2 linked regions of the Tamandua tetradactyla genome follow. Each later gene encodes a partner of the first gene's protein in a complex. Links are inferred from orthologs where the notes say so. Each region holds a gene or a part of one and is shown in the gene's direction. Other genes may lie near its edges.

Region 1 (9,988 bases):
TGGGATCCTATAAAAGAGGAGACTTTTTTTGGAGAGAACGCCTTTTGAGAATGAGAAAGCTGCAGCAGAGCCATGCAGAGCCACGAGGCTGAGAGAACCACAGAGTCCACCAGTCGGCAAACTTTGGAGTCTGAGAGAGCAGAGAAGGATGACAGAATGCTGCAGAACCACAAAGCAGAGAGTCCACCAGCCAGCGACTTTTGGAGATGAAGAAGGAAAACGCTTCCCTGGGAGCTTCATGAAGCAGGAAGCCTGGAGAGGAAGCTAGCAGATGCCGTGTTCACCATGTGCCTTTCCAGATGAGAGAAAAACCCTGACCATGTTTGCCATGTGCCTTTCCACTTGAGAGAGAAACCCTGGACTTCACTGGCCTTCTTGAACCAAGGTATCGTTCCCTGGATGCCTTAGAGTGGACATTTCTATAGACATGTTTTAACTGGGACATTTTCTTGGCCTTAGAACTATAAACTAGCAAGTTATTAAATCCCCCCTTTTTAAAGTCACTCCGTTTCTGCTATATCACATTCCAGCAGCTAGCAAACTAGAACAAGTCCCAAAGAGAAGAAAACAGGTATACCGTTTCTGTTTTTATCTGTTTGGTGGATGATCCTTGAGAGCTGTTTCTTTTGTTCTTGGATCACTTTCAAGCCAACAATACCCCTCATTTCAAGTCTGGATGATCCAAAAGTCATGGCAAAGGAAGAATCAGTATCTTGTACATGTAGGCATATCATTTATCTCTTTTTATCTTCAGTCTCTCTCTGTCTGGTCCTACCCCTGATTATTAACTTTCTTGAGTTTCCCCTATCCTGGAAAATACTCTTCCTTTACCTCTCCTCCACTAAACATCTTAAAGAATTTTTACTTCCTACCTCAACGTTCTAATGTTCCTCTTGCTAGCCTCTCAACCACAGTAATCTGGTTTCTACCCCTGTGCTAAGGAAAACTGCTCTGGCAGAGATTCCCAAAATATACCAATGATAATATGAGGTCTTTGAATTCCTCATCCTGTTTGCATTCTCTGCAGTGTCAGACTCTATGAAATACTTCTTCCTGGCCTCTAAGATACTGTTTCTTGTTTTTATATCTGTATGACCCAGTCTCCTATTTTCCTCACTCCTCAGATTCTGCCCATCCCATAAATGTTGGCATTCTAAGGGTTCAATACATGGGTCTCTTCTCATGCCAATACATTCCATGAGTGATATAAACCTGCTCCCTTGGCTTCAGGTACTACTGAGGATTTATAAATCCTCATGTCCAGGCTATCCAACTTGCAGAGCTCTCTACTGAGATGTAAGCTCTCTTAAATAAGCACGTAGGTTAATTAGAAAACAAATCAACCACTCAGGAAACCCTTCAACCACCTCACCTTCACTAATCCTGTTATTTCTTTGCTGACTATAATCACACCAGGAAAGGGAGTTAGAAGGAGGAATGATAACCCGTTTCAGGGCCCTAAGCACTGCACATAACCAACTCTCTTAAATGGGTAAAAATTCACAAGAGGAGAGTCTGTGTGCTGATATTGCATGCCAACATCCCCTCCAGAGAATAATGAAATGGACCTGAAGTCAGCTGCAGCAGTAACTTCTAGAGCGAAGCAGAGTTGGAGATATCACATTGGTGGTTCTGTTTGAGGTTTTTTTGGGGGGGGGAGGCAGGGGGTTAGCTAGAGCTTTTGCTCATTTGGGACCTGGCTTGCAGCTGGTTTCAAAATCCCACCCCTCTCCTTGTATGAAGAATTACAGAATGAAAATTTGCCAGGAGGGAGGGGCTACCTTCCATGACCCAACAGCCTCCACTTAAACTTCCTATAAGCATCTCAAAAACTCAGTGGCTCCTGAACTACTGTCATCCCTCTGCTTGTGCTCCCATCCCAGGTTACAGCATAAACTTTACCACCTTAGCTCTCACGGAAGCTTGTGTTATCGGGGACTCCCCTTTCTTCAGCCGTGGCCCCTCCAGTTCTAGGCCAGAGGCTTCTCTCCAAGCTCACTTCTTCTGCTGGACCCACCATCTCTTGGCTGAACTTTTGTATTGGCTCCCCAGAAGAAGACTCCCTACCTCCAGTCTCATCCATGTGTCACACCACAGCTAAAAGGATCTGTCCAAAACACAGAATGATCATTACCACCCTGCTTTATAATCTTGGCTGCCTTGAAGATAATGTCCAGGCTCTTAGATTGTATGTGAAGTCTTTCACAACCTACTTTGACTGGTCTTCATTTCTGTCTCTGGTGACTGCATCCCATTATCCAAGCAACAATGGGCTCTTTGTAATTTTGTAAAACACTGGGCTGAGTACTGAATGCCTACTATGTATCAGGCACTGATCTAACCATTGGAAATACATTGGTGAATATGAAAGGAAGGTCCCTGCTCTCATGCAACTCACATTTTAGTAGGAAGAGACAGTCATTAGGAAATAAGTAAATTCCAGATAGTAGTAAGGTGCTATGAAGACAATGAAACGGGTTTTGAGGAATAGGGTCCTCTACCTTAGATACAGCGTTCAGGGATGGCCTGAGAAGGTGACAATTAACTTGAATGATGAGCAGAAGCCAGACAAGCAAATGATCAGCATATGAGAAAGGCCTCAAGGCAGGAACAAGCTTGGCAGCTTGCATTAGGGTCTAAAAGTAGTGGGGCTGAACTTTATACCTTGGGGGATAATGCACTAGATGAGGCTAAGTCAGACCACGAAGGATCTTGTAGACCATGGAAAAGAGTTCCGATATCTTTTTAAGGGCAAGGAGAATCCATTGAAAAATTCTGAGCTCTGATTTGCCTTCTATAAAGGTGATCTAGAGAGTGATTCTGGCTCTTCCAGGAGGAGGAGTTTTGATGGAACAGAAGGGTAAACTGTGAATTCCTTGTCTGCAGTTTTAGGCTCAGGCCGTTCCTAAGTCTGGAATGAATGTCTTTACTGGGAAAGTTCCCAGAGTCTAGGAAGCTAGGAAAGGGCCCCCTTACTGCAGTTGTCATCTGAGACCAAGCCTCATTCAGCGATTAAAATGAGGTGGGAAAATGTACCCTAACATACTTGCCTCACCAGCCCTGTGATAAAACCAGGGCATATTCATTTAGCCATTCGACAGCCACTCACACTGGGCGCTAGATAGGAAGATTGCTGACGCGAGGTCCCGGGTTCAGGGGGGCCACTTTTCTCTGCTCCCGCCTCCATTCCCTAACTGAAGGGACTAACTACACGTGGCGCCCAGAATATAAACAAAGCCAGGGCCGCTGGCCGGATAGAAGAGGATTCGTCTGTCTCCCTGAGATGAATAAGATCACCTGCCAACCGGCAGCCAGGTTAAAGAACCAAGGAAAAGAGCCCTTCTGGGCACGCTACGGACTACAGCGTCCAGCAGTCTCCGCGCGCGAGCCTCAGATCCCTCCGCCTCGATTCGTCCTGCCGGCTGGACCTCCGCGACCCCTTACGGGCTAGGAGAAGTTTTTCCGGGATCCCTAGTCCATCTTCTTATCACAATTGCGGAAAGGGAAAGCTGGGAGCACGAAAGGAGAAAAGGACTTTTAGGAGAACAGCGGAGGCAGACGACTGAAGAGAAGCTCCGAAGTCGCCCATTTTCGCGCGCTTTGGCGCGGGTGATTGTGGGTAGCGCGCCGGGGTGGGAGAAAGGAGCTGGGGCGGGAGAAAGGAGCTGGGGCCTGGAGCCGCGCGGTCCTCGGGGCTGAGGGGATGTTCGAAGACGTGCCCCACGTTGAGGGGGCGGCGGTGGTCGCCGCGGCCCGGGAAGCGCTGCAGGCCTTGTGCCAGGAGCTGAACCTGGATGAGGGGAGTGCGGCCGAAGCCCTGGACGACTTCACCGCCATCCAGGGCAACTACAGCCTAGAGGTGAGCGGCGGCAGGTGGGGCAGCCGGACCCGACCCTCCGCGGAGCGGGCTAGCGTCCAGGCCCCACCCCCGCCCCGCCCCTGCCTCACCCGAACCCCTACCCTGTGGGGTGGTGGGAGTTTCCCCACCGAGAAGGGTCGCTGCGCAGCCGGGCTCCGAGGAGTGCAGAGCTGGAAGGGCGGATGTAGATCGGTCACCCTACCCATTTTTGAAGCGGGAAACTGAAGCCTAGAAAAGGAGCGGCATGTCCAAGGTCACGCGCCAAACAGGGGTTCCCCAGACTTCCAGATCAGACCTCCCTCAGCCTCGCCAACCGCCACCAACGCCCTGGTACTGCCTTAAAACAAGCAAATGGGAACATGGTAAACACCAAAATGAGTAACATGCCAGGACACTGCTCACACTTTAAATGTGTCATCTCAGTTCCGGTCACAACCTTTGCACACGTTCTGTGATCCCTGTTTTATAGATGAGGAAGATGAACCACAAAGAAGTTAAATACTTGTCGAGAGGTACATGGTTAGTGATGTCTGAGCCATTTAACCTCTCCACCCTTCTGCCTCATTGGAGAGGAGGGGTAGGTTACTCACTTTGCAGCCTGCCCTGTACAGCAGTTTGCTCAAAGCCAGTGTGCATTCAGTACTTGCCACTCAGGCCCTTCCTCCTCTGCTAGGTGGAAATAATAGTTCCTAACTCATTTGGTTGGTGGGAGGAGAAAATGAGACTATCCTGATGTTTAGCACAGTATTTGGCTTTGTATAAGATGAATTTCAGCTATCGTTATTAGATTTTCCCCAAGCGTTCTTGCATTTAGTCCTCGCAGCAGCCCTGTGAATGTGGTAAGATACTATTATACCTACTTTCCAGGTAATGTTAAGAACCAGAGGATTATTTTGCTGTGGTCATTCAGCTATTAAGAAGCCCAGGCAAGTGTAAGCCCGTAGACTTTGGGGCCCAGTGTAGCGAAAGAATTGTGATGGAATATATTTCAGCGTAGTGCTCTAGTAGTTTTATGTTCAAGGCATTTATGATCCGAGGGAGGTGGACCCATACACAGGCCACCAGGTGAGTGAAATTGTTTTAGAGTTGGAAATTTGGTGTAGAATATACTACGTCTATATATGAGGAAAGAGTACCTGACAGAAACTCTCTGCGTGGGGAAACTCCCACCATGCCACAGGGAGGGGGAGGGGTGGGCTGGGCTGGGCTGGGGTGGGGGTGGGGCCAGGTTAGGATCCGGTAAAGGACAGTGATCTGCGTCCATGGGTGGCATGCCTGGAAGGCTAAGGAAAGAAAAAGTAAGGGATAATGTGAATTATGACCTCTTAATTGAGAAGAGATTGACTTTTGAAAGCCTAAGAAAGCATATCTGATATCCCAGGTCCTCGTTTGATCTCATTAAATATACATTTGCTGAGTATCAACTATGGTCAAGGCATTAAACTAAGTACCTCTTTCTTGTCCTTTAATGTGCCATGCTTGCTTCCAGTTTTGTGCCTGGAATTTTTTCCCTCACCCCTCCTTCCCTAGGAAAGTTGAAGAGCTAAATTTTCAATTAAGAAGAGTTGATTAGGGCATCTTAAATGTTTGATTTAGGAAGCTCACGTGCATATATCGAGATTTTGTTGGTGTTTATTCTATCCAGAGTGTTCTGTTTTCCCTTTTTTTTTTTCCTTAGGTTTTTGGTGAAAGGCACTTGGAGTAGACATTTTCATATGTTTCTGCTGTTCCTAAGAGCTCTTCTCTCTGTCTCCTATCATTTTCCAGTCCACTTGACAAGCTCCCTGTTACATTTTTGGCGATTTACCATTTATCAATTTTAAGTCTCCCTCTGTGAAGCCTTCCCTGACTTCCATTGAAAATTATTCTCCATGCTATATTCTCCCATAACATCTTAATTCCTCTTTTATAGCATATATCCCACCAGTTATAGATAATAGTATATATTTCTCTTCATTCTAAAAAATCAAAGCATAATTCTAGTACTTATATATTCTCTGTTTTACTAAGTAAATGTTTTCATCCAGTACACAAAGGCTCTGTAATATGTAGATGCTATTCCCAAACAATTCCAAAACTATTCAACCTTAAGCTTCCCTGCCTCATCTGAGGCCTTGAACAAACTTATTTTTTCCTGATTATTTTAGGGTATGAACATTCGATGGTCTCAGTTTTATTACTTGTTACTTATTTCTACCTGCCCCTTTTTTTGATTTGTTGCGAGAAATCTTTTTTATCAATATATTTAGTCTTCTGGAGTCTGGCCTTAAGAATGATCTGCAGAACAGTGAATAGGAACAATATTGTGCTGTGCTATGAAATTTGTGTCTGTAATTATTAATCCTTAAAATCTGTCTACGTTTTTGCAATGAAGTCATGAAATAATTCTAGCTTGGAGATATCTTACATCTAAAACAGAATTAAATGTTGAATTCTCAAATGCCATCTTTATTGTAGCATTGAAATTAAGACTCGCTTTTGTGCATTGAAGAAAATTATCAAGAAAGTAAAAAGACAACCTACAGAATGGGAGAAAATGGTTTCAAACCACATATTGAATAAGGGCTTAATACCAGAATATGTAAAGAGCTACTACTCAAAAACACAATGTCAACCCAGTTAAAAATGGGCGAAGGACTTAGACATTTATCCAAAGAAGATATTCAAACAGCCAATAAGCACATGAAAAGAGGCTCAACATCATTAGGCATTAGGGAAATGCAAATCAAATCCACAATGAGATACCACTTTACACCCACAAAGGATGGTTATTAGAAAAAAAAAAAACCAATCAGAAGTGTTGTAGAGGATGTGGAGGAATTGGCACTCTAGTGTGTTGGTAGGAATGTAAAATGGTGCAGCCACTGTAGAAAGCAATATGGTAGTTCCTCAAAAAAGTTAAATATAGAGTTAGCATATGATCTGGCAATTCCACTTCTAGGTGTATTTCCAAAGAGAACTAAAGCAGGATCTCAAACAGATAACCCGAATGCCAGTGTTTCTAGCAGCATTATTTACAGAAACCAAAAGATGGAAACAACCCAAGCGTCCAGGATGAACAAACAAAATGTGGTATGTTCACACATTGGAATATTATTTAGCCCTATGAAAAAATTAAATTATGAGGCATGCTGCAATATGGAAGGAACATTATGCTCAGTGAAAAAAGCAGGGCACATAAGGACAAAAATTGTGTGATAGCACTTAGATAATTAAAAGTCGCAAATTTGGGGATATAGAAAACAGATCAGAGATTGGGAGGGGAGTAGAAGGGAAAATTTGTTAAAAAAAGAAGAGCTAATGCTTTGAGCAGCTGGGGCTCAATTCCCTTGTGGACTATTTCAAAGATTGTGTAGAATACATCTTAATATTCCCTGAAGGGACAAGGCAGCTGAAGTATTTTCCAGCATTTCCTATCACCCTTTGATTGAGAATAGTCTCACAGGATGTTGATTTCCTAGCATTTCCAGCCTACCTTATGAACAGATCAAATATGCTTCTTTACCAGAGACTTTTTTCAGGAAAAGAGATGGAAAAAGCTGAAGGAGATTGCAGATGACCACCAGGGTGGCAGAGAGACTGTGAACCATGCATAAAAAATGTCTGCCTCACCCACACTCTTGAATTTGGTCATACCAAACATCAGCAATTATTCAGTTGTGAACACATATATTGCAGATTGCATGTTCAATATAGCCATAAAATTTCACAATATTCTGAATAAAAGAAGAAGATATCTACTAAGATGAAAAGTCATACTTTCTATTTTAAACATGTTTTGGGGTAAATTAGTCCCCCAATTTTTACTTCACAAAAATGATAGTCTTTTTTATGCTGTGCCCTTTTCTTTCTCTGTCAAACTAGTTAAAAAAGAAGCATAAAACTAAAATAGTAGAAAGGAATGGAACTTCAGTATCCTCAAAGTCAAAGTTGAGAAAGCTAAGGCTGCAAAATTAAAGAGAACTCTTTCAGGAATATTAGATTTGGGGGATAGGTGAGAGATTAATATACTGATTTAGCATGTTATATTGTAAGAAAACAGGACTAAGACTAAGGAATTTTATAACACTACAACTAATTTAGCTTTGTGATTTTGGGTAGGTATCTTTACTTCCCTGGCCTTTACCTCCGGAAGGAAAATTATACAAAATAAGAGCTCTTCTGGCTCTAAAATTCAGGTATTTTAACATAATAGCATATCCATTTTGCTGTTTGTCTTTTGCCTGCCAGGGAGAAGTTATACACTGGTTGGCATGTTCATTATATGTTGCATGCCGTAAAAGCATTATTCCCACAGTTGGAAGGGGTGTTATGGAAGGAAATTGTGTGTCACTTACCAGAATACTACGTTCAGCTAAATTAAGGTAAAGTATTTTGATTTTTCAAATGTTGTTTTATATATTATAAATTTAATTTTAGAATATGATTTTTCTTTATTTTAAATCATTTGATTTCATTCAATCCTGGTTCAGTTTATCACACGTGCATCTTTTCCTACTCCTCACATTCTTCCTTTGCCTTACTTCCCCCAATTCTGGCTTCATTCAGAGGCCTCTATGCTAGATCTTTTTTAGCTATAAATTTTTTTCATACAAATTTTTTCTTATCTGGAAATAATTTCAAGCTTATAGAAAAATTGCAAAAATAAGAAAAATACAAAGAGCATTCGTATACCCTTTATCTAGATTCACCTATTGCTTTATCATTTGATCTTTCTCCCTTAAAGATATTACTCTCTCTTAAATAATATTTTCCTCAGCCATTTCAAAGTAAAAGCATACGTTATAGACCTTTGTCCCAAGTACTTCAATTTATGTTTTCTTAAATAAAAGTTATCAACTTCAGCAAATCTAGCATTATTTAAATAATTGTATCTAATCTACCATCTATATTCTAGGTTTTTTTTTCCAGTTGACCCAGTAATGTCTTTTTTTTTCTCATGGGCGGGCACCAGGAATCAAACGTGGGTCTCTGGCATGGCAGGTGAGAATTCTGCCTGCTGAGCCACTGTGGCCCACCCCAGTTATGTCTTTTATAGCATATTTTTTCTTTGACTACAATTTCTAATCTGAGACCGAATATTGTATTCACTTATATCTCTTTAGTTTTTCCTTTAACCAAGAACATTTCTACAGCCTTTCTTTGTCTTTGTGGACATTCCTATTTTGAAGAATATAGTCCACACCACCTCATCCACTTCGTAAATAGATTGTTGTCTTTTGAGATTTCTCTGATGTTTCCTTATGATTAGATGCAGGTTATACATTTCTGGATGAAATCCCCAAAGTGATATTGTGTTCTCAGGATATCACACCTGGAGGCGCATGATGGCCATCTGCCCCTCACTGGTGATGTTAATTTTGATCTTCTGGTCAAGTTGTCATATTTTTATACTGTTTAATTTTTTTCCCTTGCACTTAACAAGCAATGTATGAGTCTTAGCTACTGCTTTTACTTTCTCTAGTTTCAACCATATGGAACTGTTTGACTTTAGGAAGCAAAATAAATGGAGTGATCCAGGTTTGGATAGGTGCTAATGTTTTCTGTTTCTGATTTTCACCTGGGACAGAACTGTTGGGGATAATTGTGTCTGCTATCTCTGTGTTTCCAGAGTAGAAAAGAAGAAACTTTAAAGCACTATCTAGGGATGGTAAATAGGTTTCAGTTCAGTACTAAATTAAAAAAAAAAAAAAGCTCAAACAATTTTGGTTCTTGTTTATAGAAAAGTAAAGTCAGGATGATTAAAAAACTTTAATAGATAATTTTTCTTGCCATGATGATAAAAATGAAAATATAATCAAGATTGATAGGTTTACAGAGCTGGTGGCAGAGGAGGCTGAGGGTGATTTAGTGGTGGCAGAGGCCAGGGAGGCTTTGGAGGGCAAGGAAGCAGAGTTGGAAGAGACCACAAGCCACAAGGAAAGAAGATGAAATTTGAATAGTTTCTTCTGTTCCTGTCTATGTCTTCCATTTGAAAGAAAGAACTCTGGGGTTTTTACTCTGTTACCTGATCAATGACAGAGCCTTCTGAGGACATTCTAAGACAGTATAAGTACTGTAGTCTACTCGGAAATAACATATAGATAACATTTCAAGGGAGAAGTCCTATTGGTTTAGACTAAATATTCA
Region 2 (9,988 bases), on another chromosome or scaffold:
CTATATTTCTCCAGAGAAACAGAACCAACAGGATATATACATATAATATATATATTACATATATTATAATATAATAAGTCATATATATATACATGATTTATTATAAGGAATTGGCTTATGCAATCACAGGGACTGGCAACTCTGAGCTCTGTAGGGCAGGACCCAAGCTGAAAATTTAGATAAAGGTGATGATGAAGTTCTTAGTCTAAATCCCCACAAGAACGCTGGCTGGTTGGAAACTCCAGGAAGAGTTAATGCTGAAGTTGAGTCCAAATTCTTCTTTTGACTTCTGAAACTCTCAATTCTGGCTTTTAAGACCTCCATTGATTGGTGAGATTCCCTACATTGCTAAAGGCAATCTCCTTTGTTGATTGCTGGAAGTTGAATCACATCCTCCACAAAAGATATGTTCAAACTTTAATCCCCTTTCCTGTGGCTGTGAACCCATTTATAAATAGGACCTTTGAAGATGTTTTATTAGTTAAGTACGGATTAATTTGTGTTCTAGTTTGCTAGCTGCCGGAATGCAATATACCAGAAACAGAATGGCTTTTGACAAGGGGAATTTAATGAGTTGCTAGTTTACAGTTCTAAGGCCGAGAAAATGTTCCAATTAAAACAAGTCTATGGAAATGTCCAATCAAAGGCATCCGGGGAAAGATACCTTGGTTCAAGAAGGCCAATGAAGTTCAGGGTTTCTCTCTCAAGTGAGAAGGCACATGGCGAACACAGTCAGTGCTTCTCTCTCGGCTGGAAGGGCATGTGACGAACACAGCATCATCTCCTAGCTTCTTCTCCTGGCTTCCTGTTTCATGAAGCTCCCCAGGAGGCGTTTTCCTTCTTCATCTTCAAAGGCCACTGGCTGGTGCACTCTCTGCTTCATAGTGTTGCTCTCTCTGAATCTCTCTGAATCTCTTTCTCCAAAATGTTTCCTCTTTTATAGGACTCCAGTAAACCAATCAGGACCCACTCAAATGGGTGGAGACATGTCATCCCCTAATCCAGTTTATCAATCATTCTTGACTAAATCACCTCAACCAGGGAGATGATCTCATTACAGTTTCAAATATACAGTATTGAATAGGGATTATTCTACCTTTATGAAATGGAATTTATATTAAAACATGGCTTTTCTTAGGGGGCATACTTCCTTTCAAACCAGCACAATTTGTGAATAGGATCTTTGGAGATCCTATTTAGATGAAGCCAAATTGGATCAGGGTGAGCCTTAATCTGTATTACTGAAGGCCTTATAAAGAGAAGAAATTCAGACACAGCCAGTCAGAAGAAGTCAGAAGTTCTTAGAATCCAGAAGTAGGAGATGCCAGAGAGTGACATGGCCACGTGACAGAGGACTGCCATCACTAGAATGCTTGTGTCTCTGGGAGAAGGCATGGCTTTGCCGAAGTCTCAATTTTGGACTTCTAGCCTCCAAGCTGTAGGCCAATACATTTTTATTGTTTAAGCCAACCCATTGTGTAGTATTTGATGTAGCAGCTCTGGCAAACTAAGGCATTGATGGTAGATATAATCAATTGATTATAGATGAAAATTCTACCTCAAAAACCTTCATAGTAACAAAAAGTCCAGTGCTTTACCACACAACTAGACACCATGACCTATTTTGAGTTGACATATGAAATTAACTGTCACGGTGTCTGTGCTGGTTTGAATTTGTGGACCCCAGAAAAGCCATGTCCTTTAATCCTCATTCAATATTGCTGGCTGAGAGTTTTTGATTGTTCCCATGGAGATGTCACTCACCCGATTGTGGGTATTAACTTTTGATTAGAGGGAGATGTGACTCCACCCATTCCTGGTGGGCCTTGACTGGAATCCTTTAAAAGAGGAAACATTTTGGAGAGAGACCCTTTTTTAGAGCCACAACAGAGCCTGTGCAGCCAGAGACCTTTGGAGATGAAGAAGGAGAATGCCCTCGGGGGAGCTTCATGAAGCCAGGAGAGAAAGCTAGCAGACATAGCCATGTTCGCCAAGTGCCTTTCCAGTTGAGAGAGAAACCATAAACGTCATCAGGCTTCCTGAATCAAGGTATCTTTCCCTGGATGCCTTAGATTGAACATTTCTATAACTTGCTTTAGTTGGGACATTTCCACGGCCTTAGAACTGTGGACTTGCAACTTAATAAATTCCCCCTTTTAAAAGCCATTTTGTTCCTAGTATATTGCATTCCTGTGGCTAGCAAACTAGAACAGTGTCCTTATCCAAATTTTAGTTTAAAAACAAAGCAAACAACTACACTTATACAATTATGTTATGGTGGAAATTAAACAACTCTGTGTATACCTGCTTTCCTCACAGAACAGAAGAAAAACTGAGGTGCTGAGAGTGAGCTAGATTTCTGGTTCTATCAGTTAGTCACTGCTGTTCTTGGACATGTTACCAGGTTGTTGAGAAGATCAAGTAAGTCAATGGTTATAAAACCTTTCATAAATACCCAATAAAGAACCTCACCGAAAATAATAGTGAAGGGCCTAGCTGCTAACAAGTGGTAGATCTGGACTTGGAAAACAGCTTCATTTAGAGTTTTTGCTTAACAGGCAGATTATCAGGGAAGGGCCTAAAAATCTTCACTTAAATACCATTCTTGCTGGAGGTTTCAGTTCTTGTTTTAAGAAAACTGCCTTAGGGGGTGGGCCACGGTGGCTCAGCAGGCAGAGTTCTCGCCTGCCATGCCAGAGACCCGGGTTTGTTTCCTAGTACCTGCCCATGCAAAAAAAACAAAACAAACAAACAAACAAAAACGTGCCTTAGGATAAAACGTGGTTTATTTTGATCTGATATTCATGTTTTGTTTATATCTATTCTTTCAGTCTCAGAGAGGTGGCCTTCTCTTGAACTCATCTCCAAGTTGCTGAAACTTCCAGTGCTTTTCATCTTAAAGAACAGATCAGAATGTGTTTAGAAGGCATAGCAGGGGTTAAGTTAGTTATGAAGGAAAGATTACTCTGTAAAATTGAACTTTCATCCTTCCCATTCACACCCTGCTCCCTTTCCTACCTCAATAAGTGACGGCTCTTTCCACCCACTTTCCTAAGGCAGAAACTTGGCATTATCCGTGACACCCCTTTTTCCTCACAAACTATGAATCACCAAGTCCTGTCTTTTTCCACACCTCTTGAGAGACAGAATGCATCGTGTCCCTCCATCTCCTTCAATACTTCCTGTTTAGAAGTAGTCATAGCAGTAGCAGTAGCTAACATTTGACCAAAATGCATGCTAGGAATTATCATCAGGATTTTACATCAACTCATTATCCTCAAAATAACCCCATTATTATTATTTGAATTTTATAGATGAGAAAATGAAGCACAGGAAATTAAGAAACTTGCCTGAGATTTCACAGATAGCAGCCATAATTCCAACCTAGTCCTTCTGGCCCTCTCTGAAACTCCACAGCCATTAGTGCAGGCAGATATCTCTCTTCTCTTCCTGGCCCAAGTTTCCTCCTGACTGATTTCCAAGACTTTCATCTTGTCCCCCTCCAATTAATTTTCCACGTTTGCTCTAAAACAAAAATGGAACCTGCTACCCCATTATTTAAAGCCTGACCTCTGTTGTGCCACTGTTCAAACAGTCCAACTCCTTAGCCTGGGCTGGCCTCTGTGTTTTGTTCTGTCCTCATCTCAGTCTTTCTACCACTTTTCAACTTTTTAGTTCCTGGAATTCACCCATGCTATTTTCATTGCTTAGGACCTCTTCTGCCACCTCCACCCGCACCAGATTCTTGAAGGGAAAGGATTGGAGTTCTGCATTTGTTAAATTAGTTGTAGAAAAGTAGCAATGGTTTATTACTGGACAGTGTTAGAGACAAGAATTGTGAAATTTTTTCCTGGGCTTCATTCAAAACAGGATGAATTCTCTCATCCAGTGTTTCCATAACACTTTTATCAGAGTGCTTTCTCAACCTTGTAGTGTCCCTACTGGGTTCTTGTCTATAACCTTACAAAACCTTCTGTTACTCATTTTGTAATTCTCTCCTAGCTCACTACATGATCCTGTGTCCAGTGGATTAAAGAACAGTTCTTTAAAGGCTGGCCTAGAAGACTAACTTGAGGACTCCTTCAGGTCCCTCTCAGGCCCTGCGCGGCTCCGGTTCCAGCATCACAGGTAACGAGGCGCCTCGGTTCGCCACGGGCCGCGGCGAACCCCAAGCGTTGGACCCAGTGGCTGTGGGGCAGCTGTGGCCTCCTCCCCTCGCTCTTCCAAAGAGAAAGGGATGGAAGCACAGAAGAAACGCGGGCTTGGGGAACCTTGGCAAATTTACTCCGTATGGGGTTCCATGGGGTAAAGCGACCGAGAGCCAGGGCTTCTCTCCCATGACGGGCCTCCAGGCGCCTCCTCCCGCTCCCGCCTCAGCCCGCCGGGCCTCTCCCGGCTTCCCTCCCTCTTCCCACTCGGAACAAACAGCCTGCAGTTCCCGCAGCGGCAGCGCGAGACCCGGCGCCGGGCCCGGGCGGGACGCGGGAGCTCGCGTTGCTCCCTCAGCGCTCCAGCGCCGGGCCGGGGCGGGGGCAAGGGGCGAGGCGCAACCCGCCCCACCGCACCCCCTCGGCCGCCAGCAGCGGGCGGAGCCGGGCCTCGGGCCACCGCGACGGGAGCAGCGCCCGGCAGCGCGGCAGGCAGCGAGCTCCGCATTCGAACCTCCCTCGCTAAGACAGTCTCCGCCCCACAATGCACCGCGGCGGGCAGCCTTTGAAAAAGCGGCGCGGCTCGTTCAAGATGGCGGAGCTCGACCAGTTGCCCGACGAGAGTGAGTAGCACCTCAAAGCACCCCCCTTTCCTCCCAGCGGTCGCCTGCCCCGGGCTGCAGCGGCCGGGACAGATGGCGTGCCCTCCGCCGACCGGGTGGGCTGACTGCCAGTCCCACTAGGTGCTCCTAGTCCTCCCACTCCTGTGTTGCTGCCGCGTCGCCGCCTTTGTTATGGTGTCTGTGTATTGGTTTCTGGGGTTGTGGGAGCGCCAGGGCCGGAAACCGAAAGCCGGAGAGCCCAGCCGGTGTCGGGCGGAGGCGGTGGCTGCTCCCCTGGCCGGACTCCGGCCCCCGGCCTTGGTGGGAGAAGAGCTGCCCCCGGCCGCGGGGACTGTGTCCGCCGCCCGCACCGCTCGCCTGGCGCGGAGAGACACCGGCATGGGTTATGTAATGCTCCTGTCCCCGGGCCCGGGGAGGACTCGGCCGGGGAGGGGGTAGCCACCTGCCCTTTCTTCTTGCCCCACCTTCAGACGGAGTCCTGCCCCAGTTGTTACCTGTCCAGGCACTTGTGGTCTTCACTGTCACACCTCCCCCCGCGATGTGCCCACCTCTGGGAGTGTTTCCATGTCAAGGGGCTGCCCTTTGTGGGACCACAGGTGGCAGTGGATCCTTCCAGAGATAATCCAGACTGGATACTTACGGCACAGGTAGCCTTCATCCCCACAGACTTTCTCCTGCGTGTGCGTATCTTGAGAGTCATGGGGGTACCTTGGACATATTGATGTGACCAACCAGTGTACCTGTACAGTACTCCTGACGCCCACGCCTGTGCATTGCTTCACTTAGCCATGTCTACTCACTCTGCCTCAATGGAATCTCATGAACATATATTCTCGCTTGTGTTTAGTACGTAAAAGCACTAATTCCATAGTTTAAGCACAGTGGAATGCAACTTTGTAATTTACTAAATTGCGTAAATTATATAGAAAAGCAAATGTTTTATTTTAGTTAATTACAAAGAGATTCTGAGTCCACACTCACTATTTAGTTTATGTATACATAGCATTTGCAAGAGTTTTAATTTAACAAAAACGAAGGGCTCAATCACTGAAAAATCTATCAGTGCACAATATAAATAGACTTTGAAAATTAGAGCCAAATACAGGCAATTCTTTGTGGAATATATATTTTCAATGTGTTATCAAGTTAAAATTAAAAGTTCAAGTTCTAGTTAAGCCAAGCTGGTGAAAAGTTGTATTAAGAGTATTTTTGTTTTAAATTTACTCTAGCCAGTGCTAAGTTCCAATAGTACTTTCTCAGCAATGGAAATGTTCTATTCTGTGATGTCCATTAGGATAACCTTTAGCCACATGTGGCTATAGAGCCATTGAAATGTGGCTTGAGTGATTGAGGAACTGAATTTTAAATTATTTAAATGTTCCTCCTCGTTATCTTTACCAAGAGATAACTTTTATCACCTCTTAGAAGAAGTTAGAATAGACTTATTTTAGTTACTACAGTCATTCTTTTGAGTGAAAGATGTTTTAAGTGGCTTTTAATATAGCTCTTATTGGGAGTATTTGCATTATCGTTGCCAAACATTTACCTAGGACTTACATATTTCTTTGTAGGTTCAAATCACGGCTGTACTTTCAGACTATATAACCTAATCATTTATATTACTTTGTCACATCTCTAGTACATTGTATTGGGGAAGTGGGGATGTACTTGTGTGCATGTCTTGTTTAGCTAGACTGCAGCTTTGGTGAAAGCAGAGATTGCCTTATGTGGCTTGTGACACAGTGTCACAAATCAAGTATATGTAAATACTTGATTTATATGGAATTAAACATAGGGTAAGAGGCATTACTGAAGATACTGGAACAGGAAAAGTAAAAGTGATTTCAGTTTGATACTGGAAATAATAATTTGTTTATTCATCAAGATTAGGCAAGGGGACTAGCTAATATATTCACCAATAGCCAGCAACTATTATCAATAATAAATGCTACCATTTATCGAGTACTTACTATGCACAGACACTGTGCAAAGCATTTTACATAAATCTATTCATTTAATCCTCATGTCAATTGAGATGAGTACTCTAATTAGTTTGATTTTATATCAGATCTTTCCCTTGTGCTCTTGTTCTTGACATCTCTTGCTTATTTCACATCTCCTATTAGATAGCTCAGAAGTTCCTCAAATTTTACAAGCTCAAAATCTAACTCATGACACCAACCCAGGACAGAGATATTTTCAGTGGTCCTTGTCTTAATGAATGGCTCCATCTGGCAGGGCAAGAAACCTAGAGGTCATCTTTGGTACTCCCTTCTGTTTCATTTCCCATATTTAAGCCTTTACTAAGTCTTGTAGCTTTTTCTTTCAAAATGTCTCTTAAATCTACCTGCTTCTCTCCATTACCTGAGTCCAAGCTGTCACCATCTCTTATCTCCACTAATCACTTCAACCTTTCATTAATCCATCACCCCTTTACCCACATACATTCACACTTAAGCCAGAGTGAACTTTTCAAAATGTAAATATGTCTTGCCTTTAGTAGCTACAAGATCCTGCATGGTCTACCTTGTCCCACCTTTCCAGCCTCATTTTGGACCTTCCTATCATTTATCCCTTTGAAATACTTTGGACCTTTTTCATTCCCTCTATTTACTAAGATGTCTTTTCTGCAGTGCCTTTCCATGTGCTATTCTCTCCACCTAAAATGGTCTTTCCTCCCCTTACTTTCAAATACCTTCAGCTTATCCTTTAGACTCCATTTTAGCTTCTTCAGAGAGCTATTTTCTGTCCTCCCTTACAGCATTAAACTACTTATTAAAACCTTTCTCATAGCACTGTGTAAGTCCTTAGTGGCAGCTGTCACAGTTGCAGTTTTTAATTTGTTTATGTGATTGTTTGGTTAGCATCTGGTCCTTTTACTATTTTAGAAGCCCCACCAGAGTAGGTACTAGTTCTGTTTTTAACACTCTTGCACCCCAGTTCTATGCATAAGGCCTAGCTTACCTCTCTGACCTTATTTCATACCACTTTTTCTTGTTTGGTACTCTTGAAGCACACTGGCCTTTTTTCCCTTTCTTTGAATATATTTTAAGCTAATTTCAGTTATTTTTTTTTTAGTTTTTGTTTTAACCTTCTGTTTCTTCTGTATTACTTCTTCCTTGTGTTCTTATGGCTAGACCTTCTCAGAAGTTTCCTCTTCCAGCCTTTCCTAACCATGGTATATGAAGTAACTGCTATAGGAAATAAACAGAGTGATATCAGTATGGGGGAGTTACTTTATATATATGGATAATAATTATCTTTTTGTTTACTTGTTTATTGTGTGTCTGTTCTCACTAGAACCCTGAGAACAGGGTTTTGTCCATCTTGTTCCTTGGGATATGCCCAGCCTTAGATTAGTGCTTATGCCAGGCATTCAGTAAATATTTGCTGCATGAGTGAATAAATATATCCAGCTAGAATGGGATTCTAACTTAATCAGATTTACCTGCCTGTAAATTCATGTTATTAACCTAATAGGTCTTATTGATTGATCAAAATAATTCCAACAATAAACACTAAATGAAAATTTGCCATGTGGTATGTACACTATTCTTAGCACTTTTACATACATTATTTTAAACATTTTTTATTGTAAGATGTAACATCTATACAAAACAAAAAAAGAAAACAATAATTTTCAAAGCATACTTCAACAGATAGTTATAGAACAGATCCCAGAGTTTCTGCCATCTCAGATTTTTTCTTTTAGCTGCTCCCAAACACTGGAGGCTAGATGGAAGATTAATATAGTGATTCAGGAGTCATACTTGTCTGTTAAATGCTATTCTCTTTTATAACTTCTTCTCCCTCGATCCCTCTCTCAATCCATAGGGATCCCTGGGCAACACCCCTTCTGACTTCTTCATGTTGATAAGGGGTGTAGACACTAAAGGATAGAGCGATTAATTAATTGATAATGTTAGAGAGGCTGGTTCCTTTGGGTTTCAGTATTTATCTGACCTAGGAATCCTCCGGGAGTTATAGTTTCCAGAAAAGCAAACTTAGCGCATGAAACCTCTGTAGAGTCTCAGTTTGAGCCCCAGGTATTGTCAAGAGTCAACAGGAGTGATGCTGGTTGGGGTTTAGCAAACCATGGCAATCAGTACTATCTAATTGAAGCTTGCACAATAGTTGCCTCCAGAATAGTCTCTGGACTCCACCTGATTTCTCTTGGCTCCAGATGCCTCATCTTTTTAGGCATCTTTTATTGCTTCTCTTCCTCCCCTTGGCCCAGAAGACATTTGCATATATTATTAACTCATTTACTCCCACTTTACAGATGAAGAATCAGCAGCACAGAGAGGTTAAGTACTTTACTTAAGGTAGCAAAGACAGGAAGTGGCAGAGTCAAGATTCAGATGTATGTAGTCTCCATCTAGAGCCAGTACTCTTAACCACTGTGCTATACTGTCTCACAAAAAGATTAGAGTTGATAGGTCAGAATCCCCAAGATATGGTTCCTACCATCGTGGAGCAGAAATTCTTCAAATCTCTGCTCAAATGTCACCTTATCAGAGAAGCTAATCATGAGCAACTTACGTAAAACTAATAGTTTTCTCACATATACCCCAGTCCCCCCACACTGTCTATCCCCTGTTATTCTGCTTTAGTTTTTTCTGTAATGCTTGTTATCACCATGTGTGTACGCTCATTAGGATGTAAATTCCATGAGAACAGAGACTGGCTCTTTTTCTTGTTGTTGTATCCCCAGTGCCTAAAGCAGGAATGTTTCTCCTACTTCCCGTCACCCACAGATCCTGTACTTTACTCATATCAGAACCTGTAGTCCAGTGTTTCTCAGTGTGGTTCTGGAGGTTACCTATAGCACATGCAAATGTGGTCAGTACTCTATATATTTTCACTGAAGAGTGAATGGTTTTTTCTTTTTCTCAAGTGAGCTGGATTTCTCTTGTTAACTATGTGGCTATTTACACTGACTACTACTGCTGCTCCTTTGTAAAGTTGTGTTATTTGAGGCTTTTAAGCAAGAATTTATGGCATCTTCTTTTTTTCCTGACTATACTGCCTTTGGTTATTTAACTTCAGTGTGTTGTAAAGAAGCTGGTGAGTTGTCCTGTTATCCATTCTCCACATATAGACAAGTGAGGTGGGTAAAAGAAGAATGACTTTGATGCTAATGCTTTGTCTGTTCTATAGGCCTCTCATTCTGGCCTGCGGAGGAAAAATCAGTTGTTCATATGCCTTGGACTTCTT

What was found. Proteins that work in one complex are often made in the same cells at the same time.
Region 2: RBL1 (region 1) and LIN9 share a complex: the UniProt entries of both Homo sapiens proteins name them as parts of the DREAM complex. The link is inferred for Tamandua tetradactyla from reciprocal best matches to the Homo sapiens genes RBL1 and LIN9.

What each region holds. Positions count from the first base shown.
Region 1 is NC_135327.1:15,175,485-15,185,472, forward strand, and holds the start of RBL1 (retinoblastoma-like protein 1), read left to right. Parts: upstream 1-3,651; 5' UTR 3,652-3,703; coding exon 3,704-3,859; intron 3,860-3,961; exon of another isoform or gene 3,962-4,218; coding exon of another isoform or gene 4,219-4,221; exon of another isoform or gene 4,222-4,328; coding exon of another isoform or gene 4,329-4,436; intron 4,437-5,096; exon of another isoform or gene 5,097-6,889; coding exon of another isoform or gene 6,890-6,931; intron 6,932-8,089; coding exon 8,090-8,223; intron 8,224-9,988. UniProt on the Homo sapiens protein: Key regulator of entry into cell division. Directly involved in heterochromatin formation by maintaining overall chromatin structure and, in particular, that of constitutive heterochromatin by stabilizing histone methylation.
Region 2 is NC_135333.1:20,289,065-20,299,052, forward strand, and holds the start of LIN9 (protein lin-9 homolog), read left to right. Parts: upstream 1-4,657; 5' UTR 4,658-4,692; coding exon 4,693-4,771; intron 4,772-9,988. UniProt on the Homo sapiens protein: Acts as a tumor suppressor. Inhibits DNA synthesis. Its ability to inhibit oncogenic transformation is mediated through its association with RB1. Plays a role in the expression of genes required for the G1/S transition.